Linked DNA regions of Mus musculus: regions 1, 2, 3, 4, 5 and 7 are each reported to be linked to region 6. The links are microRNA targets in miRTarBase. Many come from high-throughput screens and were not tested one by one. Region 6 holds a microRNA gene; each other region holds the end of a gene's coding sequence. Distances are between the middles of the regions.
The links. The annotated mature microRNA mmu-miR-876-5p reads UGGAUUUCUCUGUGAAUCACUA and lies in region 6 at 2,714-2,735, opposite strand. An mRNA with a match to its seed (bases 2 to 7 or 8) in the 3' UTR can be bound and repressed. Matches are read on the target gene's strand: a 7mer-m8 pairs with bases 2 to 8, a 7mer-A1 pairs with bases 2 to 7 and ends in A, and an 8mer does both.

Region 1: the mRNA of Ddhd2 is a reported target of mmu-miR-876-5p. Seed matches in the 3' UTR shown: 7mer-m8 at 2,162-2,168.
Region 2: miRTarBase lists Spib as a target of mmu-miR-876-5p. Seed matches in the 3' UTR shown: 8mer at 2,648-2,655.
Region 3: the mRNA of Mzt1 is a reported target of mmu-miR-876-5p. Seed matches in the 3' UTR shown: 8mer at 1,562-1,569.
Region 4: the mRNA of Pde4c is a reported target of mmu-miR-876-5p. Seed matches in the 3' UTR shown: 8mer at 1,573-1,580.
Region 5: the mRNA of Rbm34 is a reported target of mmu-miR-876-5p. Seed matches in the 3' UTR shown: 7mer-m8 at 1,831-1,837.
Region 7: the mRNA of Mmachc is a reported target of mmu-miR-876-5p. Seed matches in the 3' UTR shown: 8mer at 2,893-2,900.

What each region holds. Positions count from the first base shown.
Region 1 is chr8:25,724,315-25,728,656 of GRCm38, reverse strand. Ddhd2 (DDHD domain containing 2) reads left to right here. Exons shown (of 18, transcript NM_028102.1): 17 at 920-1,027; 18 at 1,294-3,333. The coding sequence ends at 1,001. It overlaps Plpp5 (phospholipid phosphatase 5), which reads right to left. Exons shown (of 7, transcript NM_028000.1): 7 at 3,770-4,342. Among named protein-coding and RNA genes, the nearest start is that of Plpp5, 6.4 kb to the right of the region's middle.
Region 2 is chr7:44,524,160-44,528,524 of GRCm38, forward strand. It overlaps Spib (Spi-B transcription factor (Spi-1/PU.1 related)), which reads right to left. Exons shown (of 6, transcript NM_019866.1): 6 at 1,836-4,098. The coding sequence ends at 3,800. Mybpc2 (myosin binding protein C, fast-type) reads right to left here and starts at 510. Exons shown (of 28, transcript NM_146189.3): 1 at 412-510. The coding sequence starts at 430.
Region 3 is chr14:99,032,508-99,036,825 of GRCm38, reverse strand. Mzt1 (mitotic spindle organizing protein 1) reads left to right here. Exons shown (of 3, transcript NM_175245.4): 3 at 316-2,282. The coding sequence ends at 336. Among named protein-coding and RNA genes, the nearest start is that of Mzt1, 11 kb to the left of the region's middle.
Region 4 is chr8:70,749,456-70,753,766 of GRCm38, forward strand. It overlaps Pde4c (phosphodiesterase 4C, cAMP specific), which reads left to right. Exons shown (of 17, transcript NM_001310465.1): 17 at 386-1,731. The coding sequence ends at 652. Among named protein-coding and RNA genes, the nearest start is that of Rab3a, 3.1 kb to the right of the region's middle.
Region 5 is chr8:126,945,649-126,949,996 of GRCm38, reverse strand. It overlaps Rbm34 (RNA binding motif protein 34), which reads left to right. Exons shown (of 11, transcript NM_172762.3): 11 at 454-2,825. The coding sequence ends at 762. Tomm20 (translocase of outer mitochondrial membrane 20) reads left to right here and starts at 4,076. Exons shown (of 5, transcript NM_024214.2): 1 at 4,076-4,348. The coding sequence starts at 4,273.
Region 6 is chr4:36,642,709-36,647,073 of GRCm38, forward strand. Mir876 (microRNA 876) reads right to left here and starts at 2,745; the gene lies at 2,665-2,745. All of the region lies in intron 2 of Lingo2 (leucine rich repeat and Ig domain containing 2), which reads right to left.
Region 7 is chr4:116,700,114-116,704,478 of GRCm38, forward strand. It overlaps Mmachc (methylmalonic aciduria cblC type, with homocystinuria), which reads right to left. Exons shown (of 4, transcript NM_025962.3): 4 at 2,321-3,754. The coding sequence ends at 3,344. Among named protein-coding and RNA genes, the nearest start is that of Mmachc, 6.1 kb to the right of the region's middle.

The sequences.
Region 1 (4,342 bases), not on the chromosome of region 6:
GTGGAAGTTTGCGAGTTGCTGGACGTCTCGGGGTGGAGGGGTATCAGAGTGAGAAAGATGAGAGTCTCAAGCTGGTGTTTAGGAGAGACAGGACGAGAGGAAAAGGACTCTAAACTAGGAAGTGGTTATAAATGTAAAATATGCATATTACACATATTTTTTTCTCTCTGTATGGGTTATATGTGTGCGCATGAATACGTATGTGCTCATGTGAGGTGACCAGAGGGCACTGAGTATCCTGCTCTGTCATTCTCTACTTTATTCCTTTGAGACAGAGTCCTGAGCTAGGCTGTTAGCCAGGAAGTCTCAGCAATCCTCCAGTCTCAGCCCCTCACTGTGCTGTTAACTATCCGAGCAGGTTAAGCAGCCTGGCTACTCATGTGAGTGTTGTGTTCCAGACTCAGACCCCATTCTCGCTCAGCCAGCCGTCTAGCCGCTCTCTAACCCCCATCTGATACATTGGAAATTCTGGGTCATACAATCCTATTGCCTTTTCTAAAAAGCAAATAAAGTTTAAAAATGAAGGTGATGAGCAGACAGCTGCTCCTGTTGTTTCAAGAATGCCTCTGGGAGCTAAGAGTGGGTTTATGCTTGTAGTCCTGAGGCAAGAGGCTGAGGCTGGAAGATTTCTGTGAATTCAAGACCAGCCTAAGCCATAGAGTAAGTTGCAGGCACAGCGTGGGTTAGAGTGAGACCTGCCTCAAGCAGTCATTTACCGCCTTTATGAGGGAAGGTGCCAGGACCCTTAACTCTTCCTGTTTCCAGACCACCTCCAAACCACTAGCAATGGACCTCTAAGGCACATATTTTTACAGTAGTAAAAATTAATAAAAAGCTAAGGTATTTGTATAGATTACATGAAAAGCATATGGTGTCAAATGGTTTTGTCTTTTCTCAACGTAAGTTTTTCTCTACACAGGGAATCTGAAGATACAGTATTGCTGGTTCTCAAAGAGATCTACCAAACCCAGGGTGTCTTCCTTGATCAGCCTTTACAGTAAACATGACCCATCTGTGGCTGCTTAATGTAAGTTTTCAATGCAGTGAAGTGTTTACACGTTATAAGGAACATTGGAACCTCAAGAAAAACTCACTTCGAGGACACTGGTTAAAATTCACAGGAAGTGTCCAGTAGCCCACTCAGAAAAGGATTGGTGTACATCTTACCTTGTGCTGGGGATCCCAAGTTACCACACCCAGCCTCCAGACAGGAACCTGGAAAGTCTGTATTAGACAGTGGCATTCTCTGGTGGCTGGTTCCCCTGGGTGACCTTTTCCCCCCCTCTCCCATAGATGGACACTGAGGGAGACTGTCCTGAAAACCCACACGCTTGCTGCTGCAGCTTCCTTCTCAGCTACCTTGTGTCCTGCATGCTGCCTGCCTTACTCCATGGGATCTTCCCAAGAGAACCCTCTTTGGAGACTACTGGAAAGCGGAGGGGCACTCACTGTTCTGTATGGACGCTCAGCAGGTTTTGTGGCTAGGGCGTTTACATATCCCAATGCTTTAACAGCAGCACTTCCTTGTTTCTTACATGGGAATGAATATCTGTTTAGGGGGCTTGGGGGGGGTTACTCCTTATCCTTACCAACACTACGGGTGGGAGTATAAGATGTAGAGGTACTTAGGGGTCCCGTCCCTCTGTGTGTTCTCTGTGCTGGAGGGCTGAGCATCACTGCATTTGGGAGAGCTGCTGGCTTTTGAGCCAGCTTTTCTTTCCTGGATTATATGAAGATCAGACAGAAGCTTACTAATAGCACAGTTTGCTCTGAACACTGTTACGTGAGTGGATTGTAGAACCACTGGTGCTGGTCCTGGTCCTGGTCCTTACAACTGCTTCAGCTTCTGCAACCCTGAAGGTTGTATTAACTGTGTGCCTGCTCTTTTACACCGTATTCCAAGCCAGCGGTGAAGTTGAGGACATTACTAGGTAATACTTATTTTGAAGGTCAACCTGAAATTACATGGCCCTTCCCTGCTGTTCATGTTGTAAATGCAGTCTTTTAGTAGCACCGATTTAAGTCACCTGCTCCTTCCACTTGAGTAAAGGAAGTATGTGACATAAATGTCACATTTTTTTTTTTTTTTTTTTTTGACACAGGGTTTCTCTGTGTAGCCCTGGTTGTCCTGGAACTCACTCTGTAGACCAGGCTGGCCTCAGAAATCCGCCTGCCTCTGCCTCTGCCTCCCGAGTGCTGGGATCAAAGGCGTGCGCCACCACGCCCGGCTGCGTCACTGCTTTCTGAGGTACCATCAAATTGTTTATTACAGTTGGCAGTCATGGATTTGAGCATGCAAGCTAGGCTACCTTCTGAAGGAAAACCCTGTCTACAGGGTCTGAGGAGCTGAATCTGGATAACTCAAGGCACATTGATCGTGAGGAAGGGTGACTGTACACTAAGTGTTCCCTTCCTTAGCATGTGCCGTCATCTTTGTCCTCCTCACGATTGCCCTTTAGCTCCTCTGATTTCCACAGGTCTCTATAGAGTGGCAGGAGAGGTGAGCTGTGTTTTGGTTTTTTTCCTTGTTTTGTAAACCTATCATGGTATCCAGAGGCACTGCACATAACATGCCCTGAAACCCTCAGATGGCAGTGCCCTCTACAGACAGGCAAAGGGAGGGAAGCACTGTGCCCTGGACGTTAGAGAGGCAAGCATGGTACGTCAGGCCCAGCCTGCCTTCCTGCTCATGGGTAATACTGGATGAGCAAGCTACTAAGGAGTTCCAGGTATATGGAATACTTTATTTTTTCTACAATATGTCTTGAGTAAGAATACCTGAGAATTAAGTAGTATATTCATTAAATACTAAAAAGTAAGTTTTGTCAATTGCTGTCTTGAGGTTTGTTTACTCTTGTTAGCAGAGTCATTACTACTTAAGAGTAAACCAAAGTACAACCAAGAGTGCGTTCTTGTGACCAAAGATGGGCAGCTTGGCCCTGGAGAGCTAGATAAACCCCTGCACTGAGAAAGGCTTCTTCCCGCAGTCCGGTACTTACACGTGACCACGCTGAGTGTTATACAAGGCAGTGTGGTGGCAAGGGACCTGGGTGTGGACCTGCACTGCGTCGTCTGTTATCATGCACAATCTCCTGACCAAGGCTGTTTCTAAACTCCAGGGTGACAGCATTCTGTCTGTGATTCTGTCTGTGATTCTGGCAGCACAGTTGGTGGGAGACTGTCTGCAAGGGACGATGAGTAGCTCTGATAACCTTGCTGATATTTTGCACTTTTGAAATGTTTGTTTTATATGTGATTATATTTAAGACGTTAGTAAATGCCGAAATAAAACTATTGACCATTTGCCTACATTCATGTGGCCTTATCTATCATCAAGAAAATCAATATAGTAGGCATTTTCTCTTACATGTTACTAAATTCAAAACAAAAAGTTTTAGGCAACTAACTGATGGTAAGCTCTTTTCCCTTGATGGATGTTTACATTCTCATGGACACTATAGCTCAGAATTGAAACAGAGCCTGTCCTTCAGCATCTGCAATATTAGCTAATACAACTGATACCAGCAGTTAGTTACATACACCAGATGGGAAGCCAGTCTTAATCTAGACCTGAACGGTTCTTATGAAGTACAAACCCTCAGGCACACTCTTGTGTTTCACTGCCAGACTTTCTGAGAAAACGAAGTACACTGAGAACACGTTTAAGACTATGTCAGAGCTGGGCAATGCTGGAGCGTGCTTTTAGTCCTAGCACTCTGGAGGCAGAGGCAGGTGGGTCGCTTGAGTTCACTCACACACACACAGTATGTTATAGGAAGAAATACATAAGAGAGACTTTTATTTAAAGTATAATAACAATAAAATGGTAGCTATCAGTTGGTCCTCCATACCAAGTTCTGGTGATAGCCTCTAGTTGCGCCATTTATTTCTTTATGAACAAAGGCAGAAAGTGTTGCATTTATTTTCTAGATAATATCCCTAATTTTTCTTTCCTAATGTAGTAAAAAGTAAAAAATTGGCCAAAATTGAATGTTTTATTATTTAAGGCTTAATGGAATGTTACCACAAAAAGCAAGCCGAATCAGAGTTTAGCTGGCACTGCCCTTATTTATAAAGGACAGGGATTATGTTCGGTAAATGGGGTCATGAAAGCTTCCTTTGTGGAAAGGTTTCCTCTGGAGTGACATTTAATCACTGTAGACACTAGGTCTTAGAATAGCAATCCTATGGATTAACCTAGTGAGAGAAGTCCTGACAGAGCCGTGCCAGGCCAAGCACTGAGACCTCAGGGGCTAGCCTTGGAAGTGGGGTAAAGTGCACAGCCTTGCGGAGGCAAGTACAGTGTGGCTGTGTCCTCACTTAGACCCTGAAGAGGTCAAGC
Region 2 (4,365 bases), not on the chromosome of region 6:
GAGTGAGTTTGGGGCCAGCCTAGGCTGCAGACTTTGAGGACAGCCTGGAGGGCTTGGGGGCAGGGGTGGGGTGAGAGAGCAAAGAGAGAAGGGGAGAGAGAAAGAAAACCGAGGCCAATTTATAATTGCACAACTGAGATTTCTACCCAAGATGGGTCTCCCAGTCCCCGAAGAGGAAGGGGACTCCTGACCCTACACAGACAATAGACCTCATGGTCCTGCATTAGGAAGGGACCCATCTGTGCACACAGAAAGGGTCCCTCTTCCCCAAGCAGGAAAGGAACCTACACTCTACCTAGATGTAGGAACAGGCAAAGGACCCCCTCCTCCCATAGTAGAAATCCCCTTGTGTGCACCCTACCCTCCACCCCATCCCCACCCCCACCCCCAAGAAGGTTTCGGGCCAGCCACCTGGTTTAGCCTCAGGCATGTCGGCGACCTTCTCCTGCTCCCAGGACTTGGGACCGCAGTGGCTCTAACCAGGCCCTAGCAGGGACAGGTGGGTCTCCAGGAGGAGCCCTTTATGGAGTCTCGAGACTCCCAGGAGGCAGCGCAGGGCCGCCCCGCATTCCTCTTGCATGCTCTAAAGGGCGAGAAATAGCGAGCAGGCAGGAGTGGAGGGATGCCAAGGCCCTAGTGGGGATGGGATGTGGTGCTTAGACACCTGAGTCTGTGGAGGTGCAAAGGTGAAGACTGCGTGACCGCAGAAAGAGGGGAACTGGAACCCCAGAGTCTGGGGGCACAGGGGTCCAGATTCTTAGGTCCTGGATGAAGTGGGGGGGAGAAGGAGGAACGAGAAGTGGCCAGAGCACAAGATGGGGAGAGGGGGGAAGCAGAGAGGGCACTTGTGTGGGGGCAAAGAACGAGGAGGAAAAGAGAAAAGGAAAAAAGGGAGGGAAATCCTGGGTCTTGGGAACGGGCGTGGGGGGCTGGGAGTCTCAGGTGCACGGGGCAAGCGGGGCGGGTTCTGGAAGCCTTTCTTAGCCCCAGTCAGGAGTTTTCTAGAAACCAGAGACGGGAAGGATAGTCCGATTTCCCCCGCGTAGGCAGGACGGGTGCCGGCCTCAGGGAAGAGTTCTCGGTGTCCCTCCCGCCCTATTCTGATCCGGGTCCCAATGGGAGCGGCCTGGCCGGCTGCCCGTCACCGGCCAAGTGCAGAGAGGCCGGGAAGGCCCTGGAGAGCTGCCCAGGCCCGGCTCCTTCCCAGCACCAGAGGGGAGGAGCGGGTAAGGAGGAGGAGAGGGACACTTGGGGAACCACAGGTGTGGCTGGCCCAGAAGGGTGTCAGAGGAAGGAACCAGGGTATCGAAGACAAGCTGTCCTCCCCCCCCCCTTTTACTCTTTGTGTCCCTCCCTCCTTTCTACTTTCAAAAAAAAGATCCCCTAACAGCCGGAAGCTTCCTGGCTTCTGGGGGCACAAAGTCCTGTCACACCATTGGTTGCAGTGCAAAAACTTCCACCTCGCTCCCTAGGGAGCAGGCAAGTTGCACAGCAACCCATTGTAGTAACACACCCCTGTAACCCGGAATTCCAGAGACTGAGCTGAGACAGGGCCATTGGAGTGACTTCAAGACCAGCCTGAACTACAACGTAAGGAAGAGCCTATCTTCAAGACAAAAAAACAAAAACCGAACAGTCAGATGTCTGGAATGGAGGGGTGAGCAGAAAAGCAAGGTGGGAAACAATGGTTTCCTCATTCAAGCCCTAGCCTGGCCCACCACCTTCCTTTCTCCCTCCCCCTCCCTCCCCCTCCCTCCCTATGACTGCCACAGTCTCAGAAGAGTTCATGTGGAGGTGCAGGGGACAGTTCCTAATAAAGGGTCCCAAGACGGCTTAATTTTGATGTACACTTTATTTATTATGCATGTATAGTGGTGATGAGAAATAATTTTATTTAGTACAGTTTAGCCTTGACCACATGGACATCTGGATCTTCCATGACCCTGTTCCCCCTCCCGGCCACCCACAGAGGTGAGTTCCGGTGTGTCACAGGCTCATTGGGGAGGCTCATGGGGTTGCAAAGAGTTTTAAGGGCCTCTTCATCGTCTGTTTCTCAGAGAGACGGAAGCCTGAGTGCCCCCCTCCCCTCACTCAGGCTTCAAAGCTCTGGGTTCTGATTCTGCTGTGGATGCCCAAGACAAACCCACAGTTTGAGCCTACTTGGCCTGTAGCACTTGAACGGAAAAGACTGGGCCTGAACAGGCGGGTGTGAGGAAGTCACTGGTGTGAGACAGACAGGCACTGAGCAGGGTCCTGGGCAGACACCTGGACAGAGGCCGGCCCCAGAAAAGCTGGCCAGAAGTCACCAGTTGTCCAAAGATTCACACTTAGATATCTGGGTGGCGGGAGTGCTTTCTAGCTTGACAGATCACTATGAAAGCGGGCTTTCCTCCAAAGAAAGCACCTGCAGGGACTTAATTTGCCTGCCTTGTGGGTGGGGGTTGACCAAGTCTAGAAGTCTGTCTACCCATGGCGTGGGTAAGCACAGAGTAGTAAGGTATGTTCATAGTTCCAGACGCAGAGGCAGGAAGAGTGTCATGAGCTTGAAGCCAGCCTGGGCTACACAAATAGACCTTGACTTAAGAAAAAGGAAAAAGGGCGTGGTGGTGCACGCCTTTAATCCCAGCATTTGAGAGGCAGAGGCAGGTGGATTTCTGAGTTTAAGGCCAGCCTGGTCTACAGAGTGAGTTCCAGAACGGCCAGGGCTACACAGAGAAACCCTGTCTCGAAAACAACAACAACAAAAAGACAAGACAATGGAAAGAAACAGTCACGTGGTGCGCTGCCTGACATCTGAGCATTCTGGCTGAGGCAAGGGCTCAAGGTCTTCCCTAGCTACACAGTGAGAGTGAGTTCAAGACCAGCCTGAGCTACATAAGACTCAATCTCAAGAATAAAAGGCACCGGCCTTGCCACAGCCATACCTCTGCCACACATCCCCCTCAAACACAACATACAGGTCGCGCCTCAGTCAGTGTGTGAATGCAGGGCTGCTGAGAGCCTAGAGAACTTCCCATATGATCAAGGGATCCCAGAAGGAAGGGCCCAACCTATAAGGTTCACTGAACCTCCCACCCTACCTTACCCAGCCATTCATCTCGGACATAGGTCCCAGAGGGTCCCAAGGGGTGCCTGAGGCAAGAGGAGCCTGAGGCAAGAGGACTGCCACTAGCTTGAGAATAGCCCAGCCCGGGTTACATAGTAAAATCTCTCAAAAAAGGAAAAAACCTGGTGTGATGGTGCACCCTTGTCATCCCAGCACTCAGGAGGCCGAGGCAGGACGATTGTTAAAAGTTGGGGGGCCAGCCTGAGCTACATAATGAGACCCTGTCTCAAACAAACAAAAGTCATAAACGGACGCAGAGAAAAGTCACACACAGGTGGCACAGGGTTCTCAGAGAGCTCCAAACATAACTAGACCTCAGATCTAACAAGGGCTTCAGGGGGAGTACAGAGGGACCGACCTATCTGGCCAACAAAACAAGGGTTTGGGGGGGGCTGTAGACAGCGCCACCTGCTGGTGAGATGTCATGTGAGCTCACAGGACTCGCAAGAACTGCGGTTTCTGGAACCGTAGACGACATCAGGGCTCCCCCATCCCCCCCCCCCCCGAGAAACCTGCCATTCTGAAACCGTGTAGAATGGCCAGTGCTCCCTCAAACACGACCATCCTAGATTGGAATCCTATACACGGCACAGGAAACTCTGGGGAGGCTCTAGGGAGAGCTGAGAACCCTGACTGCCCTCATATGGGGCTCCATGGGACTTAGGGGCCAGAAAGGGGTCCTTAGCGGAGTGCTCAGACATGCCGGGAGGCTGGCAGCAGCGCGCTGTCAAACTGGTAGGTGAGTTTGCGTTTGACCTTGCGGATTTCGCCTGTCTTGGCATAGTTGCGCAGCGCTCGGGCCAGCTTCTGATACGTCATGCGCTTGCGGTTGCCCTTCTGCTGGCCCCAGCGGCGAGCCAACAACTCCTTGTGCTTGGAGGAGAACTGGAAGACGCCGGCACCTGGCTCCACCCACCACACGCACTCGCGCATGTCCCCGCGTAGGAGCAACCCCAGCAAGAACTGGTACAGGCGCAGCTTCTTGCGTGCACCTGCAGGGTGTTGGATACCAGCGTTAAGAGGGGGAAGTCCGTTAAAGGAACCCCCAGAGCTACGGCCCCTCGCCACCCTTAGTTTTCACAATGGAGTTGGGCCTGGTTGGCTGCAACTACTCCAGAGGCTGAGGAAAGATCACCAAGTTCAAGATCAGCCTAGGTAACTTAGGGAGACTGTCTTTTAAAAGTAAGAGGGTGAGGCTTGGCTCAGTGATAGAGCCCCGTGCCTAGAATCCCTCCAGTGAGCGCGGGAGTATAAATAAG
Region 3 (4,318 bases), not on the chromosome of region 6:
TCTTTACACTATAGTAAAAAAAAACTAATGAAGACCTTGGAAAACAAGTTATGTGTTAACTCTTAAAGAAGTAGTACATTTTACATGATCTCTATTATATAAATGACTCCTTCTTTTTATAATCTGGCAGTAAATTTAAAATATCTGATAATACAACAAAAAATAAAAATCATTGTATTTTTCCAGTAAAACCAATTGAGTTGTGATGTGGAATAACTAGCTGTTTGTTAAATATGGTATAGGTAGATTTACCTCCATGGTTGTCTTAACTATGGTTTCTTAAAATAATGGATCTTGCTCTCTTGTTTTGTCTAGGCTGCTGAAAACACAAGCTGACTTCCAGAGAATTCCTGATGAGATATGTCAAGCTTAGCAAGAAAATTTGAAGATTCCATCATAGTCAAGATATAAAATGACAATGCTGCATGCTGAGTAGAAAATGTTTTCTTTTACAAAGAATTATAAAACCATGGCTGAGCATGTCAGTGGGAAGTGGCTTGAGCGAGAATCAGCACGTGTGTTTACATCACGTCTTGTTGTAATGGCCCCAACTCCAGAGTGTTGCCACACTTATTTATGTATATTTATAGCTCTGCTAGCTGTGAGTTTCTAAACAGCATCTACCCGACATGCACAGCTGCTGAGCCTGTTTGAAGTTAGTGGGTTGTATCAGAGGTGATGTGTAGTAGTTATGACTTGTTGACATTACCAATATAAACCTTAATTTTGAATTGTTTAAGCATAAAAACTGGCTGTGTGTTCCATTGAGCTGTAAGTTAATGGAATTTGAGCTGCTGTTTGTGAAGTTTTCTGTTTCACATCTTGTTTTTAAAAATAGGATCCAAAACATCTCAAATCATCTCCTTAACAGAATATTTTGTTTTTTACCCAGTTTTTGGCAGTTAAAGGTGTAAAGAAGATCATTTTTATATTGCCGAAAACTTAGAACTTTTAGAAACTTGGATTTTTAAAAAGGAATGCCAGGGCTTGACTTAGCATTATTTGTAGTTTGAACCATTAAAATCTAATAAGAACAGCTGAAATGCATTTCTCTGTAAATCTTATAACCACATAAAGGTCCACAAAATAATGTATGAAGTGAAAACAGCAAACATACAAAATTCCTTTTTAATGTTATTGCATAAAAACAATAAGCTTACTAGCGAATCTTGAGTGGCTATTAAGTCAGTACATAGGTGGTGTATTTCAACAGATTAATTCATGTTTTCTAAAGAAGTAGGATTTCCAGTTGTTCAACAAAAACTAATGAAATATGTACCAGTATTATTTGCAGAAAATGTTTGTAATTTTTACCATTAAAGCTTTTAACTCATTAAAATGATGGTCAAAGATAAATTTGAAAAGCTGGATGGAGTTGCTTCTGCCCCTGTTACAGAATCTCAGTGGGATATTTTCATGAGCTCAGTGTGTATTTAATCTGAATTTTTTGATTCTTAAATTGTTTTTGTTTTGTTTTGTTTTGTTTTTCAAGACAGGGTTTCTCTGTGTAGCCCTGGCTGTCCTGGAACTCATTCTGTAGACCAGGCTGGCCTTGAACTCAGAAATCCACCTGCCTCTGCCTCCCAAGTGCTGGGAGTAAAGGCATGCGCCACCACCGCCTGTCTTGATTCTTAAATTTTAAGTTTGATTCCATGCCAACCCTTTTTTATTTCAGAGAAGCCAAGGTGGTTTTAAGCCACTTAGTAATGAAGTAGCTGTTTCCTCTGCTCTGAGACTCATCTCGTCTGCTGGTCAGTAGTCCCTGCTGTCAGAGGCTGAGGCCGAGGAACGGTGACTCGCAGGCCAGCGTACGCTGCTTAGGCAACAAAGTGAGACCTGATCTCTACAGACAAAATCTTGATTGTGATTGTTTTGACTTTTTACATGTATGGCATCTTTACTAAGTAAATTGAAAGGTCTATTACAGGCATCTCTTCCAAGTTGGGAGACAGTAAGAACTTGTAAGAACCATTTGATTAGTGATATGCATATATTGTATATTATTTTTAAAATCAGAAAGTACTTTCTCAGATTTCACAGTTTGTATGTATTTCTAGACCACAGAGTTGGTTGGTAGTTTTATTTTTGATTTTGTAGATTAAGTTATGTGTGAAACAAACTAGGAAATTATATTTAGGAAAGATTATGTTTAGAGAGAACTTCCTAATTGTGTCACATTTTTAGATGTAAACATATTTTTAATGAGTACATAAGTAATATTTAAGAAACCAGCGATACATGTTTGTCACCAGTGACAAAAATAAAATCATTTTGTGTTATTGGCCTTGTCCTTTTGATATACTGTATACTTCTGTGGGTTCAGTTCTGTTTTTGAAGGTAATCTAAACTGAAGGAATTTACTGTGTATAAAAATGTTAAGATGGCTATGATGCATCGTATAATTACATCTTAACCCTGAGTATGGGTGGGATTCTTTTTTCCTGATAGTGAGGGGAAATTATAATAATAGCAGAAATTATTATAATAGCAGAAATTATTATAATAGCAGAAATTATTATAATAGCATTGATTTGGCTTTACGACTAAATTGACAATTCAGATAAATATTGACAATTCAGATAAATATTGACAATTCAGATAAATGGTTTTTTTTTCTGTATCTTTATGTGGAGAGTCATAAAATTTATTTGCATGTTCAAATATGTGAACATTTCCCAATATGTGAACCAAATATGTTTCAAACATTTAATTAAGAACTCAGTTCCTTGTTTCTTTAACTATTTTATGTTGTAGTGAAATATAATGTAAAATGTATGATGAGTTCTAGTGAGTTAAATCGAGCAGCTTCCTGACATGAAGAACCTGCCATTGTTGTGTGACTCTTACCATATTTACAACATTGTCATCATCTCAGACTGAAACAGCACGCTAATTAGTGATTCCCCATCCCTTCCCCTGACCAGGCATTTTTTCTGCATTCTGACCATTAACTTAATCCTAGGCGTCTTCTATAAGTTGCACCATATATTATCTGTCCATTGTTGTCTTCCTTCATCCAACATGACGTCTCTAAGGATCATCCGTGTCACAGTGCATCACTTGTCAAGTCTGAATATCCAGTGCAATGAATGAATGTGCTGTTTTCCTTGTTCACTCATTGGCACGGGGGCTGTTGGGAGGGATGCTATGAACACTGGCGTGAAAGTGTCTCTTTAGAGTCTTGCTTTTGAGCACTCTGCATATACAACATGGAAGGGCAGACTAGAGAGGATGTTATGACAGCAACATAGGCCTAAGTGCTCAACCTAAGATGATAGATCCCAGAAACATTAGAAAAGGAGATGGAGTTTAGTGGGGAGCCGTGGGGGAGTCACTAACACAACTGGGATTCTGAATGCAGGGTACCAAATGGAAATCAAATTGCCTTAAACTGTTTTCATGGAAAGATCTAGCATATGTGTTAAGCTTTATTCTTGCTGACCCTCTGAAGGCCCTCAACTGTGTCTCTTTTTCATTGTAGCGTGTTTATAGCTGTTTGCAAGTATAGTTTAGTGATTGTTAATTCCCATCTGCCTCTGAAAAAACAATACAAGTGTAGGTAGTGTAGATTTTGCTTTATTTTGTTCAAAGATGTTGTATTTTGAGAAGTATATAACACACAGTAAGTACTCAGTAAATACACGTTAGGCTGAATAGATAAGCTGGATAACTAAAACTGCAGCCACCATATGCTTAAAGTTTTTTAATGTACAGAGAACTTGCTACCTTCAGAGCACAAGCCTTGGTGTTACAGCACATCTGGTTGTTTAGTTAGCCTTCCAGTAGCTGCAAGAGGTAGCACCTTCAGCTTGTGATGAGTAACAACTTCCATGAGGCAAGGTGTGGCTGAACAGGTAGCTAAAATATAGACGGAAGAGTCAAGATGGGATCCCAGAGAAGCTGGCTGGAGAGCCCATAGACCTCGGTGCTCTCCCTTAATAACCAGCCCTCCCGTGGCTGAGGAGTGATGGGAAAGTGAAAGCTGCCCGGGGTCAGGTGCCTGAGTGTATGTAAGGTGTGGGAGGAGATCACCCACATGGGTGCTGACCTCAAAGGCACCTCTAGTGAACCTGCTGGGATGGTCTCCTGATATGTTTCCACAGCATCTCAGAACATCCCCACTTCTGCCTTCTGGTTAGGTTGACAAAATAAAGCTGCATCTGGGGGTGCAAGCCTGTATCCTGCCACTTAGGAGACTGAAGCAGGAGGAAGGCAGGTTTCAGTCTCGCTCAGCAATGGAGCAAGGCTGTACCTCAAAATTTCAAAAGAAAAGAGGCATCTGGTATTTCCTCCGTCAGGCCCCAGGTTTTATACCTGT
Region 4 (4,311 bases), not on the chromosome of region 6:
GGGTTTTCTGTGCAGCCCTGGCTGTCCTGGGACCTCCTCTGTAGACCAGGCTGGTCTCTGTCTCAGAGATCCGCCTGCCTATGCTTCCCAAGTGCAGGGATCAAAGGTGTGCGCCACCAGCCAGCTAGGGCAGATGTTTTGATTTGTTGTTTTGAAGACATCTCATTTTGTCACCCTGGCTGGCCTAGAACTCACTGGCTTGAGATCACCCTGCCTCAGTCTCCTCCTGTTGTGCCAGGATGGCTTTTTTCAAGAGGATTTTGAAGGATGAATAGGAGTTGGCAAATGAGAATTCCAGGCTGAGAACACCAGGTGGCCAACTGTGAGATGGGACTAATTCTAGGTTTCACTGGGTCTCACTTGCCCCTTCTGTGATCACCCTAAGGTGGGATTCATTGACTACATCGCTCAGCCATTGTGGGAGACATGGGCTGACCTAGTGCACCCCGATGCTCAGGAGCTTCTGGACACCTTGGAAGACAACAGAGAGTGGTATCAGAGTAGGATTCCCTGCAGCCCTCCACACACCATGGGCTCGGACAGGTTCAAGTTTGAGCTGACCCTGGAGGAAGCAGAGGAAGAGGAGGAAGAGGAGGATGAAGGGCAGTGCACAGCACTGAACAGGGAGTCCTCAGAGTTACCCAGCACTTAACTCCTGTCCTCTAAGGCCAGCCCAGAGCCCAGGGTCTGCTTTGTCCAACAAGAGTTGGGCTAGCTTAGTGTGGACCGTGGAGTCCTGGTCAGGCCATGGGCACCTATGGGCACTGATGACGTTCCACCACTCAAAGAGGACAGCCAAGGTTTACACAGAGCCAAGCCTGAGGGAGGCTGGGACCAGCTCTGCCCACAGACTGGAATGGCACCAGCCCTGGGAAGCGCCGACTCCTGCATCTCAGAAGACAGACTTAGACTCAGCTGCAGTCTGCACGTCAGCTTCAGCACATGCAGTCGGACTCTGTGTTATGGTTTAGTTGGTTTCTTTTTTGGCACTAAAGATGGAACCAATGTTGCCTTCACCAGTCCAGCTGCAAGCCTTTACTGAGTCCCTCGGGGGAATCCCTTTCGTAAAATGCGGGCGGGGAACACTTCCCACTGAGGTCTGGTGTCTCCTGACACCATTGGCTGCACAAGACTCTTCTTAGATATCAGGAGGCCGGTGACCCTCCTAGAAGACCACTGCAGGCCTCAGTCCTCCCATCAATGAGGATCCCCGTCTCCGACAAGATTGGGCTTCTCAAACCAGTGTGCTGGTGCACCTCTCTTCACCATAGGCATCCCCCAGACTTGGCTGTGTGTGTGTGGAGACAGCTGGTCCAGGCTGGGCAGCCTGACTAGAAATAAAAAGAGCTGGAAGTGGGCTGGAAAGATGGCTCAGTGGTTAGGAGCACTGACTGTTCTTCCAGAGGTCCTGAGTTCAAATCCCAGCAACCACGTGGTGGCTCACAATCATCTGTAATGGGATCTGTTTTTTGTTTTGTTTTGTTTTGTTTGTTTGTTTTCGATACAGGGTTTCTCTGTGTAGCCCTGGCTGTCCTGGAACTCACTCTGCAGACCAGGCTGGCCTCGAACTCAGAAATCCACCTGCCTCTGCCTCCCAAGTGCTGGGATTAAAGACATGTGCCACCACCACTGTGTGGCCTGAAATGGGATCTGATGCCCTCTTCTTTTGTGTCTGAAGAAAGCAATGGTTACTCACATATAATAAATAAATAAATCTTTAAAAAAAAAAAAGTAGCTGGAGTGTGGCTAAGGGGTGGAGCTTCTGCCTAGAATTGCCCAATGAGGGGCTTGGGGTGTGGCTCTGGTAACAGAGCTTTAGCTTTTGGGAAGTCCTGAGTTCCATTTCTATCACTGCAAAAATAGAATAAATAGAAGAGCACTGCAGGCCTCAGTCTTCCCGTCAATGAGGATCCCTGTCTCTGACAAGATTGGGCTTCTCAAACCAGAGTGCCGGCACACCTCTCTTCACCATAGGCGTTCCCTAGTCAGGGTTCTCTAGAGTCACAGAATTTATGGGTATTCTCTATATAGTAAAGGAATTTATTGATGACTTAGAGTCTGCAGTTCAACTCCCAACAGTGGTCAGCAGCAGCTGTGAATGGAAGTCCAAGGATCTAGCAGTTGCTCAGTCCTACACGGCAAGCAGGTGAAGGAGAGAAAGCCTTCCTTCTTCCAATGTCCTTATGTAGGTCTCCAGCAGAAGGTGTAGCCCAGATTAAAGGTGTGTGCCACCACACCTTTAATCACAGATGACCTTGAACTCAGAGATTTCCCTGTTTTTGTTTTTTTTTTAAAGATTTATTTATTTATTATATGTAAGTACACTGCAGCTGTCTTCAGATGCACCAGAAGAGGGTGTCAGATCTCATTACGGATGGTTGTGAGCCACCATGTGGTTGTTGGGATTTGAACTCAGGACCTTCGGAAGAGCAGCGGTACTCTTAACCACTGAGCCATCTCTCCAGCCCATGAGATCTCCCTGTCTTAATCTTCTGGAAGCCATAGCCACTATGTCTTAAGATCTCCATACCAAGATCCAGATCAGAAACTTCTATCTCCAAGCCTCCAGATTAGGGTCACTGGTGAGCCTTCCAATTCTGGATTGTAGTTCATTCCAGATATAGTCAAGTTGACAACCAGGAATAGCCGCGACACCTACTCATTCTCTTGTGTGGAAACTGAGTCATAACTAGTCCCTCAGAGCTTATATACTAAGAGTGGGCACTGGTGCCCCCTGGCGGTATGACTGATTCCCTGTTTGTTTTCCAAACAGTTCTTTGGCCGTTTTGAGACAAGGTCTCATGGTCTCAAGTTCTAATGTCAGACTTGTTTGCCGCAGAGGATGACACTAACGTTATTTTCTTGCCTCCACCATTCGAGTGCTTGGCTGGGGTAACAGGCATGTGCCATGGGGGGGGGGGGGTCCCTCTCTTTCCCTTTTCCTTTTTCCCTCTGAGCCTGTAACTCTGCACCTGACCAAGGCCTCCAAGGAGCCAGAGTGGCAGGCGACTTCCTCTGTAAATATTATGACTCGGGCTATTCATCCCCAGGAGGCACAAAAGGCCATCTGGGGTCACACACTGGAACATTTCCTTCTTCCTTCCAGATGTCTTAAGAGGCGACCCTTAGAGATTTCTTGTTAAACAAAGTCATGTGTGTTCACTGTGGGAGAATTTGGAAGTCACACAAACCTGATGACGTGAGTTCCATTCCTAGGACTTGTGCTGGAAGGAAAGAACTGACTTCCTAGGTTGTCCTGTGACACTCCCCTCTTTCCAACACAAATAAATGAATATAACTTAGAAAGATTTGAGGAACAGCTTCCCTCTGTCCCTTCTTCTGCCTGTGCTCTTGTTTGCCCAGGCCTTTAACACACTTGCTTCATTCTTCCAGACAGCTGTGCTGTCCTCTCTGGGGAGCCTCAAACTCAGAAATTCCCAAGTGCTGTGTAATTAAAGGTTTCTGTTACCATGCCAGCAGTTTCCCCGCACACGTTTATAGTATGAAACAGGGTCTCACTTTGTGATCCAGGATGATAAAGAACTCAACAACCCTCCTGCCTCAGCTTTCCAAGTGTTCCGATGAAGCCTTGCCACCTACTGAGCTACCAGCACAGTTCTCCTGGAGCCCTTGCTTGGTGGTGGAAGCAAATGGGTTCCTCCCCTAACCTTATCCCTTCGGAATAAATCCAAATCAGGCTCCAGTGTCCCAGGCTCCTCCTGCACCCTTTCTGTCCTCAAACCCGGTCCCGGTCCCCACAGTAGCCTCCGCGTGGGCCCGGAGCTCGCTAAGTAACAAACTGATGGTCACTTTGTGTCTCTGCATGAAGTGCAGGGGAAGCAGGAAATAAGCTTCCTCCAGCGGCCCCGGATTGGGCGGGGCTCCAGGCTCCTCGCGGGGGTGGACGAGCATCCAGGCGACAAGTTATTCTGGTCCATTGGCGCCTCCGCAGCTGGCGGGGAGGTCTATAAACAGGGCCAGGACACGTTCCCAGTTCTGCTTCCTGTGGGAATGGAAGCGATGGGGACCCTGCCCGGCCGCACGGAGAGGAAGAATAGGATAGACCCCAGATTCCCACCTTGACAGGCAGATTTGCAGGAATGAGTCGTGTGTATCATAGCGGCTTGGAAGTCTGCATTTCTGCGCCCACCTTCCTGAGACACAGGGTTACCCGGGTCCCAGTGTCCATATCGTAAAGGGCGTTGGGCAGCTACTCTTGAATCTTCTCTGCTTCCTTGGTCTTTCATTACAATTTTGGAAGACTTATGGGTCAGGATACTTCTGAGCCCTAAGTGCGCAAGGAAGCAAGGG
Region 5 (4,348 bases), not on the chromosome of region 6:
TTCAATATCTCCTTAACATTGAAAATAGTATTAATGGTTCTGTGTTGGAATAGAATAGGATTTTGGACTCAAGTAGAACCCTCTAGTGTCTAGTCCCACATCTCTGACTGTAGAGGACTTTCCTGCCTTCTGCTTACAACAGGAATTTTAAGAAAGTTGTGTTTTGAGCTGATTACTGTTTTAAAGAGACATCATATGATGAACAGTGAACCTGTGGTGGTGATTATGAGCATTTAGTGAAGCAGCTTGAGCGCCACCTGTAGCCGTGAGTGGAACATGAGCAACAAGGGGTTCAAGCAAGGCTGACCAAACCCTTGGATCTGACCTCTAGGGCATAGACTAGAAGGACTTGTGTGTACAAGCTTGAAGACTGACATAGACCACTGAATTCTGACCTACTAGTCTCATTGCATATCACTTTCTGGTGGAAATTAATGTTTCTCCTTATTGCAGAACACAGATGCTGTTCATCTTGCTTTGAAGTTAAATAATTCTGAGCTAATGGGAAGAAAACTGAGAGTCATGCGTTCTGTTAATAAAGAAAAACTAAAACAACAGAATTCAAATCCAAGCTTGAAGAAGGATGTCATTAAACCTAAGCAAAGACTTAATTTTACTTCCAAAGAAGGAAAATTCCATTCCAAAGAAGGAAAATTCCATTCCAAGAATGCATTTATTGGAGAAAAGGCAGTTCTCATGAAAAAGAAAAAGAAAGGACAAAAGAAAAAAGTACAAATGAAGAAACCAAGAAAACAGCAGTAATAACTGAGGTTGCCTCCTTTCTGTGGTGAAACCTTGCAATGAGTGTCTGGGTTTTTTATGGATTATGTAGAAAATGTGGAGGCATCCACGGTGTCTGGTTTTTGTTTTTGTTTTTTTTTTAATTCATGCTATATGTAAGGCTTCTTTGAAGCCTTGTTCTTAGAAATGTATTTAAAGAAAAATAATAAACATTAATACTCTGTGTTTAGGATAAGTGTTCAAATGGTCACTGTGAGAATACTGATTCCAGGTATAGTCACAGTCCCTAAGAAAGACTTGTGAGCTGTGTAAAACACACACGCACATTCTTCACTTCTCATTTTTCTTTCTCTTGCAATTGTAGTATAGATCTACATTTCTTATCCCATATATCTAATAATTGCTAACCAATAAGACTGATAGGATAAGAGTGACTATCTTCTAATTCGTTGCCAGTGACTACAGTGGTCAATGATGTCCTTGGCTATTAGGTGTGTGTGTGTGTGGAGGGGGGGGTGCTCATAAGAAAAATACTCTTCCAGGAAAATGTGATGCTTAAATTAGTATCACTCAGAATGAAACAGCTGTCCCAGAAAGTTTAAAGACAGCATCTAATAAATGATGTTAATTAAACTGCAGTCTTTAAAGTTGAATGACATGACAACATGGTGCTGCATTCCCTAAGTTCCAGACACATCTTACCAAGCTGGGGCTGGATCCAGGATGAAGTGGGGGAAGCAGGAAGCCAAGGCTGATTCAGGCAGGCAGAGTCCAGTAGGCAAGAGGGTAGGATAAGTTTTCACTCTTTTAGTTGTAAAAGTTCTGTCTTTGGGAAATGCCATGTAGAAAACCTAATGAGGTCTTTAAAACATAGCTCTAGGGGCTGGAGAGATGGCTCAGCAGTTAAGAATACTGACTGCTCTTCCAAAGGTCCTGAGTTCAAATCTCAGCAACCACATAGTAGCTCGCAACCATCCGTAATGAGATCTGATGCCCTCTTCTGTTGTTTGTTTGTTTGAGACAGGGTTTCTCTGTATAGCCTTGGCTGTCCTGGAACTCACTTTGCAGACCAGGCTGACCTTGAACTCAGAAATCCGCCTGCCTCTGCCCCCCAAGTGCTGGGATTAAAGGCGTGCGCCACCATGCCTGGCTGATGCTCTCTTCTGGAATGTCTGGATACAACTACAGTGTACTTACACATAAATAAATCTTAAACAAAAAACAAACAAACCCCATAGCTCTAGAGGCTGGAGAGTTGGTTTCTTGGTTAAGAGCATGCACTGCTCTTCAGAGTACCTAAGTTCAATTCCTAGTACCCACGTCAAGCAGTTCACAACTGTCTGTAACTTGAGCTCCTAGGTCCAACTCCTCTAGTCTCCCCAGACTTTGTGCACTTTTTCACTAACATAACCTACACACACATATATACAAGTAAAAAATAAAAGTGTGGGGCTGGAGAGATGGCTCAGTGGTTAAGAGCACTGACTGTTCTTCTAGAGGTCCTGAGTTCAATTCCCAGCAACCACATGGTGGCTCACAACCATCTGTCCGATGCACTCTTCTGCTGTGTGTCTGAAGTCAGCTACCGTGTACTCACATTAAATAAATATTAAAAAATAAATAAAAGTGTGTAGCTTTTACAGCAGAGAAAGCTCTATTTCCTGTATCCAAGACTGGATAATTTATGGTTGGTTTTCCTTACAGTATTTAGAACCTTTTCAGTTAAATTTCAGCAATTTTACCTGATCACTCTGGAGCATTTTTGCATAAACTATATAAAGATGTAACATTAGATTGTGCGTGCATATATAATCTATGTACAACTTACAGCTCCTGTGAGTGAGCAGGTTATATACATGCATAGATGTAACTTTATTTAATATGTGTATGATGTGAATGTGGAGGCCAGAAGAAAACTCTGGAGTTTTCTCCTTCCAAAGCATGGACTCACTCAGCCATCTCACTGGCCCTAGATACTTTGGAATTCGGTACTGTGTAACTGTTGAAATTCCTCCTTTAGAATGTGTGTGCTACTATGATTGTGTAAATCATTAAAAAATGTATTTTGTAGGAAATTTTCTAAAGATGCTTAGTGTAATTTCTTGGTACGTTCTATCTGATAAAATACTTAATAGCCACAAGACTATGTATATAAGTGGTCAAGAGTGGATAGAAGTTGGCTTTGTTATAAAAGTGCTGGCTAAGTACTGATTAGTCATGAGTATGAAACATTTTTTTCTTGTAAACTTTTTTTCTCCCTTAACATAGCTTCAAAAAATCCTTAAAGGGGCTAGAGAGATGGCTCAGCAGTTAAGAGCACTGGCTATTCTTCCAGAGGTGCTGAGTTCAATTCCCAGCGACCACACGGTGGCTCACGACCATCTGTAATGCTATCTAATGCTCTTTTCTGGTACGAAGGTGTACATGCAGGTAGAGCACTCATATGCATAAATGAAAAAAAAAAGCATTCTTACAATGAGAGGTGCAGGAAAGGCTTGCATCGGCTACCTCTTATCACTGTACCCAATTCTCAGAGACTGCAGCATAGCTTGTCACTGTCCCAGGTTTCGATGTTTCCTCAGTGAAGGGAGCAGTTGCTGTACCAGACTGCCTTTCCTTCAAAAGCCAGCCACAAGTGTGGTGGGTGGGTTCGAGCATTAGTAACGAGCTGGTTGGGAATCTTGATGGGGGTTGTGGAGGAGGGAGAGAACGACAAGACTGCAGTTTAATGACGGCACAAATCAGGGCCACCCATAGACTTTTTTTTTTTTTTTTTTTGCCCTTCTGCATTCCTTACAGGTTAAATTTTTTTGAACGAATTAACCCATTTTTCTTCTCCGCACCAGGGCTACATCATAAAATTATTTTGCAGTCAATCATTGTGTCTAATCTCAGTCACAACGCAATTTACAAAGCAAATACTGCCAGATCAGGCGGCTCAGGTCTTCCTTTAAAACCACAGCTCAGAGGATGAGGCAAAAGGATTGCAGGTTCGAGGCCAGGGCAGACTACACAGCAAGTTCCAGACCCTACTATGCTACAAGGGGAGAGCCCGTCTCAAAAACCTAAAAAGCAAACGCATGCACTTCAAGTCACAGGCTTCCTGAAGGACACAGTGAGATGAGATGCTGTTCTCAGCCGGCTCCCACCTTCGTCTTTCATTAGCAAGGACAGTGGATTAGAGGCTTCTGACTCAGCACGCCACAAACACGTGCTGCCCCTGACCCCCTGGTCACGGGATGACGCACAAATCCTTCTGCAGTGCACGCCCCGCCCCCAGCTTGGCGTCTCAGCCGCGCAGACTGGGTCCATCTGCGCGTGCGCACCAGGCGTTCCCGCGCAGGCACCGCCGCGGACAGCCCGCCGCGGACCTTCCCCCGGGGTCCTCGCGCGCCGGAAGTCCTCGCGCTCGGCCTTTTCCGTCTGGACTGGAGGCAGGCGGCTGCGAGCGGCCGGCGTGCTCCGATCGGTCGGAGCTAACCGCTGCCAGGCGGGCTGCCGCGGCCCGGCGTACGCCCCAGTCGAGCGAAGATGGTGGGCCGGAACAGCGCCATCGCCGCGGGCGTGTGCGGTGCCCTCTTCATCGGGTACTGCATCTACTTCGACC
Region 6 (4,365 bases):
ATGTGCAAGGGAGGTGGGAGTAGGTGAGTGGGGGAACACCCTCACAGAAGCAGGGGGCGTGGGAGGGGGTAGGGAGTTTCGGGGGGTGGGAACAGGGGAAAGGGATAACATTTGAAATGCAAATAAAGTAAATATCCAATAAAAATATTTTAAAAAGAGAAGGGTTTAAGCCTTCAGATTTGAACTCCAGTTCCTTAGTCTACTGGCATCTCCCATTATGTTGTAGACTTGTGTTACTTCCATGATTGAGAAAGTCTTCAAGATAAATCTCTCTCAATATATAAATACTGCTAGTTTCTCTGAATAAAGTTGGCCTAGTAAACTCCTTTCAAAATATATATTTTCACATAGATTTTAGAAAATTTACGAGTGTTTAGGGCAAGTCCAATTTAGAGTTTATGTTCTATCCAAACTACACTTAAAATTAACTGCTTTTCTGTAACTCTGCTTATATGTACTTAAAGTAGGAATAAAAGCATCCAGTAGTATATTAATATAAATACAACTTGATGTTAGACTTATGAAAAGAGTTTTGGATATATGGCTATTTGATAAATTTGGTGACCCTGTTGTTAGGTCTAGTAACTAAAAATCTCTTAGAAAATTCTGTCGCTTACTTCAATATTTACATAGCAACAATACTAAATATTGGCATTAAAACCAAGCTTTAGCTCAGAGGAAATATGATAAGCATCTCTTTAAAAAACAGTAACAAATCACAAAGCTATAGAACAGCTTTATGCCCAAAACCTGTTATTCTGGCTCTATTTCATTTATTCCCTTCTCTAAGAGGAGTGGAATTTTCAATCATAACATGGTTTTACTGCTATGAAGAACATACTTAGAAATATAGAGTATTAAGAAAAAGAAATATGCAGTTGTAATTGAAAATAATGACAATTATAACTGATGCTGAAGTAAAGCCTAAGAAATTAGGATAACACATTCAAACCCTATTTTAAAATTGGAGATAATTTTGTGGGGATTCTCTCCAGCTGCATCATATGTGATTTATTTAAATTACAGAGGCTCAAATAAAGTATCATTATTTATGTAACATATATTTTTATTTTTAAGATTTATTTTTTAATGTATAATGGAAAAACTTTTTGATTTGTTAGGACATTGTAATGATACCTAAACTTGTAAACAAGATGTATTAGCTCTAATATAGCAAGACAAAAATAACTTCAGAAGAGAAATAATAGATTGATTCAATGATGATTCATAAGTAATTTCAGAATCCTGTTCATTATCATTTAGGAATGTAATGGTGTCACAAGAAATCGGAGATAAATACAATCTATCACTACGAAAATCTTGTTGCCATATGACTGAGCTTAGATTACACCTAAGTTCTAGCCTTCAAATAGAAGAGCTCATATACCAAAACTAAACAAAATTTTTGGAGCTTATACCAGCGATTGAAAAACTAATGGTGAAAGGTTGGGTTTCTGTTTCTAGAATCAGCACATTTAACAACACTAATGAGGGTAATAACCATGAACTTCCTGTTGTTTCCCAGCAACTGGTAGGTAACATGATAGCAACTATACTCTTTAGCCTTGTGAAACTTACTCATTTTAAAGATTATTCTAACACTATGAGTATGTATATGAGTGCATCTGTGTGTGGGAACATGCACATTAGTGTAAGGTCCAACATAGGCCAATAGAGAGTGATAGAGAGTGTCAGATCTCTTCAGCTGAACTTATTGGTTTCTGTGATGCATATGATGCAGGTGTGCAGCAAATTGTACCCTGGTTCTCTTGATGCACAATCCAAGTTCTCAAACATTGACGATGGCTTTAGACTCTTACTAAATTTCTTTGCCATTAAAAGATGACAGAAGCTAAATTTGTAGAGAATTAATGATAAATAATGGCAAATTAAGTATACAATTTTGTATATTTTGGCTAATTCTGTGTCTGTATCATTTGAATAGTATTAAAATTTAGTTACTTTTAAAATTATTTTAAAATAATGATGTTTATAAATTCCCTGATTAATTTCTATTTGAATTGCATAATCAGTAAAGTCACTGGATAAGCTCTCTGTAAAAATGTTTCCTCTTTATTAATATATATATATATATATATATATATATATTTGTCCAAGTAATAGTAACAGAATTAAATTTCAAAATGTTTCACTTATAATTAATGGGTGCAGATGTCAATTCAGTGCTTTTGTTTTGGATCTACTGCATTTTTAAAAATAGGGCATACTGCCAATTGTTGGGGCAGGTGTTGCTAAAAAAAACAAGAACAGACTGTGCATAAATGTAAAATACACACACACACACAAACACACACACACATATATATGTGTGTGTGTATATATATATATATATACATATATATATATATATATATATATATATATATATATATATATGAGATATGAGATGGCCTGGCAATATGTAATAGGCAGTCCTCAAATGCTGCCATCCTCCTGCCTCAGCTTCTCAGGTGTTATATTACAAGCAAGTTACAATATATGTAGCTTAATTTTCCAGTGCTTGACATATCTTTGCTTCTTGTTCTCTAATTAACAAAGTAACTGTTTATGAAAGGTTTAAATCTTATAGCTTAAGGATTTGTTCTCAATGGCCCAATGAAGGATCCTAGGTTTCAAAATACAGATCAACTGTAGGAGCACCTGTGAAGCACTATGAATTACTTTGTAAACCACTACCACACTAGATTTGATATAGTGATTCACAGAGAAATCCATAGCACGTGACAGTTTATGTAATGCTTGTACACATGAACATAAAAATTATATGCTACCATGCCCAGAGTTTGAAAAATTATTCAAGACATCTTTTTATCGTTCATATGGCATTAAAATATAATTTAATTTAATTTTAACAACATTTGAGCAAGAGAATAAACATTCATGAATCAACAGGTTTTATATATATAGTATTATAATATATACATTTTTAATTGGTAAAATAATAAGAAACACTGAAAAAATCTGAAAAATACATAAAACCAAATTATACTTTCCGTATTATGTATCAAGGTAGATCAATTAGAGGAATGAGCAAGAACAACCAAGAGATGAAAGAGAAGTAAAATGCCCACTATGCTCATAGAATTGAGATATGGATATTAATATAACCTGTGGGAGGAGAGAAGTAAAATAAGGAATGACATTTCATACGTGCATCTCACATTACAACATACACATGATGTGGTTGTTTTGCTCTAAAAATAGTCTCAGTTAGCCTACATGTATTTTGCATAAGTTCTTAGATTTTATCTGATTTTTTTTCTATCTTAAGTTTGAGTTCTGCATGTGATTGGCTGAAACTCTCTGAGGCTACTTAAATATATGTTAGTTTCCTCACTAGGTTCAGCTTTGAGAAACAAAACAAAACAAAACACCAAAGTAACTGAAAAAAATCTCTAATGGGCACTGCTTTAATAAATTCACAGGAATGAAACATCTTTCGTTTTTCTCCTTTGTTATGTTTGCTTCAATGGTAACATTTATCTAAAGATTTAAAAGAAAACTAGAATTTTAATTTATGATCATTAAAAAGAAAATAATTTTTAAATTTTAATGGACTAGGATTATATCTCTCAGGCCATCTATGGATTTGAGAATTTTGACTTTTTGTATGTATACCATGAATGTCAATAATAATTAACATACAATATTTTTCAGAAATTTGCAAATCTAACATCTTAGTGTGTTCAAAACTGTCACTACATATCACTGTGCATTCCCAAGTAAAACAGGGAAGTAAGGCCAGACTGGCTGGCTAAGCAAGGAAAAACTTTAAGTGGAAAATAAATTGTAAAATTATTTACACATTCATATATACTTACCGTATGGCTGGTATATGACGTACATAATGCTTGCCAGGTATAAGGAAGTAAATGCAAACCCAATACATACCCTAGCTTCAAGAAACAGATAAAACAAAATAAATAAAACCAACAAGAACAATTGTGTTCCTTAAAAAGGGTCCACATAGATTGCTTTAGAGTCCACATTATCCAGTCATAGCAGGAGGTTTCTGTGAGAAATTACTTAGTTGAAAAATTGAAGGTACAATACAATTTAGCAATGAGGATAGGATTAGAACATTTGAAGCAGACGGGGCACATTAAAAACAGTAGAAAGAAGAAATTAAAATGTCATCTGTTCTCTGCTACACTACTGCTGAAAGTAGAAAATTACACAAAATTTAGATATAAGTGAAAACTAGCAAGCATGTCCAGATTGTAGACAACAAATGAGAGAAATTAGAAAATAAAGATACTAAGCAACATTAAGCCTGAGAAATGTGCATGACAGATGTGCATGGCAGATGTGCATGACAGATGTGCATGGGAGATGTGTATGGCA
Region 7 (4,365 bases), 80 Mb from region 6:
AGAAAATTGGGTTTGAAAGGTTGAAAGGTGCCTCAGGTCTGGAGACAAAGCTTTTGGTAGAGTGCTTGCCTGGTATTCTGTTTTACTTGTTGCTGAACACAGCAACTAAAAAGTATCTGGCTTATACTTCCTGGTCACAGTCATACCTGAGGTAAAGTCAGGGTAGGACTTCAAGGAGGAACTGAAGCAGAAAATGTCCCACAGACCACTCTAATCTTGGAAATGTTTAAATTGAGGTTTCTTCTCCTGGGTGAATGAATAAATGAAAAAAAAATACTGTCAAGTTGACAGAAGTTAACTATTACGTTTAGTGTGCACAAGCCTTGTTATAACCCTATTGCCATGTAAACAAGGTGTGATAGTACACACCTGTAATCTCAGTACTAGTGAACTGAAGGCAAAAGGATCAGAGGTTCACCTGTGTGATGCATTAGGCCTGGTCTTTAAAGGGAAAAAAAGGCTTCAGTACACATACCCACACAGAAGAAAGTTTTTAGTTTAACAATATTTTAGATTGAAAAGCAGACCCAAGCCCTGCTGTCCTCTCAGCCATTGCACTGCAGTTCATGTTTGCTGGGTTATAGGCAAGTCTGGGAAAGATTTATTTGAGCTGTTTAGTGCTGGGAGGGTTGCATGGAACAGAATTTTTGCTTCTTAGGATAAATGCCTAGTGTCTGTCTGCTCTGCAAAATAAATAGGACTTGGCCAATAAGAAGTTCATTGGGTATCTTAGAGTTTTATTGCTGTTAAGAGACTCTGACCATGGCAACTCTAAAAAAGGAGAACATTTAATTGGGGCTGGCTTATAGTCATTATTTAGTCCATTATGGTGAGAAACATGGCACAGTACAGGAAGATATGGTGCTGGCTAAGGAGTTGTGAGTTCTAAGCAGAAAAAGATGTGTGTGCCACACTGGGTGTGGTTTGAGTATAGGACACCTCAAAGCCTGTTCCCACAGTGACACTTCACACCAAGACCACACTTACTGACAGTGCAATTACCTATGGCCGAGCAGTCAAAAACAGTCTAGGGACTGTGCCTACTCAAACCACCACATTAAAGATACTTGCCACATGGTGGAAGAAGAGACAATTGACTCCTTCCTACAAGTTGTCCTCTGACTTCATAAATGCACTGTGATATGCCTCTCTCCCACAAATATGAATGTAATCTAGGAGGAAAAAGGAATGACCACTGGGCCTGTCAAGTTTTAATCTCATAGATGAGTGCTAGATTAGGCTACATGGTAACACTTCGCTTGTTTGTAGACCAGAAGAATGTGTCTGACCTTTTGGGGCTGGAATGAGAAGCAGTTGTGAGCCACCTGATGAGGCAGTCTTAATTGAACTGGGTGCTTACTGAGCTTTGCTGGCCAATAAGCTCCAATAATTGTCCCCTTGTTCCCAGCAACCAAAGTATGGAACATTGGAGTTCTGGGCAGGGCACAGCAAAGTGCTTGAAAAAGTTATTAGGGCTTCTTTTTCCCTTTTGCCACTACATTTTTATATCACGGAATAAGTAACACTAACCTTGGAAATGTTACACCTACCAGTTTTCAGGATGCATTTTTAAGATTTACTATATACATGTTATATACATGTCATGTATACACATGGTCTCCCCGCACATATACCTGCGGGCCAGAAGACAGCACCAGGTCACATCATGTGATTGCTGGGAATCACTCAGGACTTCTACAAGAGTATCCAGTGCCCTTAACCTCTCTCCTTCCTGGGTGTAATTTCTTTCTTTCTTTTTTTTTTTTTTTAATAATTTATTTTAGTTTTTATTAGATATTTTTTTTCCATTTTTTATTAGGTATTTAACTCATTTACATTTCCAATGCTATACCAAAAGTCTCCCATATCCACCCACCCCCACTCCCCTGCCCACCCACTCCCCCTTTTTGGCCCTGGTGTTCCCCTGTACTGGGGCATATAAAGTTTGCAAGTCCAATGGGCCTCTCTTTCCAGTGATGGCCGACTAGGCCATCTTTTGATATATATGCAGCTAGAGTCAAGAGCTCCGGGGTACTGGTTAGTTCATAATGTTGTTCCACCTATAGGGTTGCAGATCCCTTAATACCCTCAGTAGTTTGCTTCTCCCTCCCTGTTGCAGGGTTTGGAGGGCGGGGGTGGATTCCTGTTCAAGGAAACATGATTGAGTCTGAGACTGGTCTGTCTCCTGTTTTAGTTTTCAACAAGTAAAAACAGCACATTACAATTTACCAACTAACCTCCCTGGACCCTGGGAGTGAAATTTGAAATATCAGAATTGGGAAACTATCTCTGGAATCAACAAACAGGCAAACAAAGTTGGTGGCTTTGGATATGATTGTATTCAACTACTTGTATTTTAGCTGTGATGAGAGAATATTCCTTTCTGATCCTGTAAAGTCAGGAAGTTTCTTCTGGATTCTTGGTTAGGGTTGACAAAATAATCCTATGACATCATGTCCTTCCAACATTCCAGAATTCAAAGTACATCTATTTGAGCATAAGTATAAGATTGCCTGAGCCTTTAGTAATAGCACACTGTAGGTCGGGGCAGTTTCAATGTAGTTTACTTAAATATTAATTCAGCATAGCTCAATGTGGTGGGTACCCCTAGGAGCTGCTAAATCTGTGATTCTCAGCCCCCAGGGGTTGTTGAACAACCCTTTCACTGGATTCCCTAAGACAATTGATTCATAACTAGCAAAATTATTAGGTAGCAACAAAAATAATTTTATGGTTGCGGTCACTACAACATGAGGAACTGCATTAAATGATAGCAGCTTTAGGAACGAACAGTGAGAACCATGGTTCTTAAATAGTATCTTAAGAGTACTACACAAAGCCGGGCTTGGTAGTGCACGCCTTTAATCCCAGCACTCGGGAGGCAGAGGCAGGTGGATTTCTGAGTTTGAGGCCAGCCTGGTCAACAGAGTGAGTTCCAGGACAGCCAGGGCTACACAGAGAAACCCTGTCTTGAAAAAACAAAAAACAAAAACAAAAAAATAGTAATGGGCATGAGTCTAATATTTGAAGTCAACTGCTGATTTTTGAGTCTGCCTTGGCATATGATTTATCTTGACCAATGTAAATTGAGTCTTGACTGTCTGAAGCACTATTATCAGGAAATCCTACCTAAAATAAAATGGTTTTTCCACAGTGCAAAAAATCAGCACTCTGGAGAAGACAGAGGCAGATGGATCTCTCTTAGCTTGAGGCCAACCTGGTCTGAGCTACATAGAGGAACCTTGTCTCAAAAAAACTAAAAAAGGAGAAAGTGTTTTTTTCAAAACCCAAATCCTACTTAAAATAAATCTACTATGAGTGGGATCCTGAAGGGGAAAAGTTATCAAGGGCCTGGGGATACAGGTGGTGAGACACTTGGACTCAGCCAGCTTCGAGCTCTCCTGGAATTCTGAGGTTTAGTAAGCAAGGAAAGAGGAAGCTCAGATGTAGTGCTAGGGTGTTCTGAGGGTTGGGCTAAGCCTAATAGGGCCAAGCGTTGGGCAGGTGGGGTGGAAAAGTAGATCTTCTGTTCTTCGGAGTACCGTTCTTCAGGAGTCACAGCATCACGGTAAGTCCAGTCCCGCCAATGGAAATTGAAACCTTCAAGCAGAGTGATGCGGCCAGCTCTTGTAGGCACACAGTCAGGGGGCTTTCTGGGTGGCAAATTTGGCACTTCAATCCCTGGCAGCAACATAACCCCTCGGATGGCAAACCAGCCCCCAAATCGGGGGTGTATGCACACACCTGCTATGTGCTGGGGAGAGGACAAAGAAAAAGCAGGGTTACAGAGGTCATTTTGACACTAGGTTCAACGACTATTGGAAACTTTTTATCCCCCAAGTATGGGTATGAGTGTTTTGCTTGCATGCAAGCAGTACCCACAGCGGCCAGCAGAGGGTGTCAATCTAAAAACGAGTTGCAGATGGTTCTGAGCAGCCACGTGAGTGCTTGGGATTGAACATGGTTCATACAAAAGCAACAAATGTTCCTAATCTTTTTCTAATTCTTTCCCACTCAGTGCACACTCATTCCATGCAGAAGGCTCTGTCCCTTCTATTAAATTAAGAAATCTAGGGCTGGAGAGATGGCTCAGTGGTGAAGAGCACTGACTGCTCTTCTGAAGGTCCTGAGTTCAAATCCCAGCAACCACATGGTGGCTCACAACCATCTGTAACGAGAACTGATGCCCTCTTCTGGTGTGTCTGAAGATAGCTACAGTGTACTTACATACAATAAATAAATAAATCTTTAAAAAAAAAATCTAGCCGGGCAGTGGTGGGGCACACCTTTAATCTCAGCACTTATACAGACCTTATATTGTAGGGGATCCTTTAGGAGCCTTTACTATCCTTTCCCTTGGTCCCC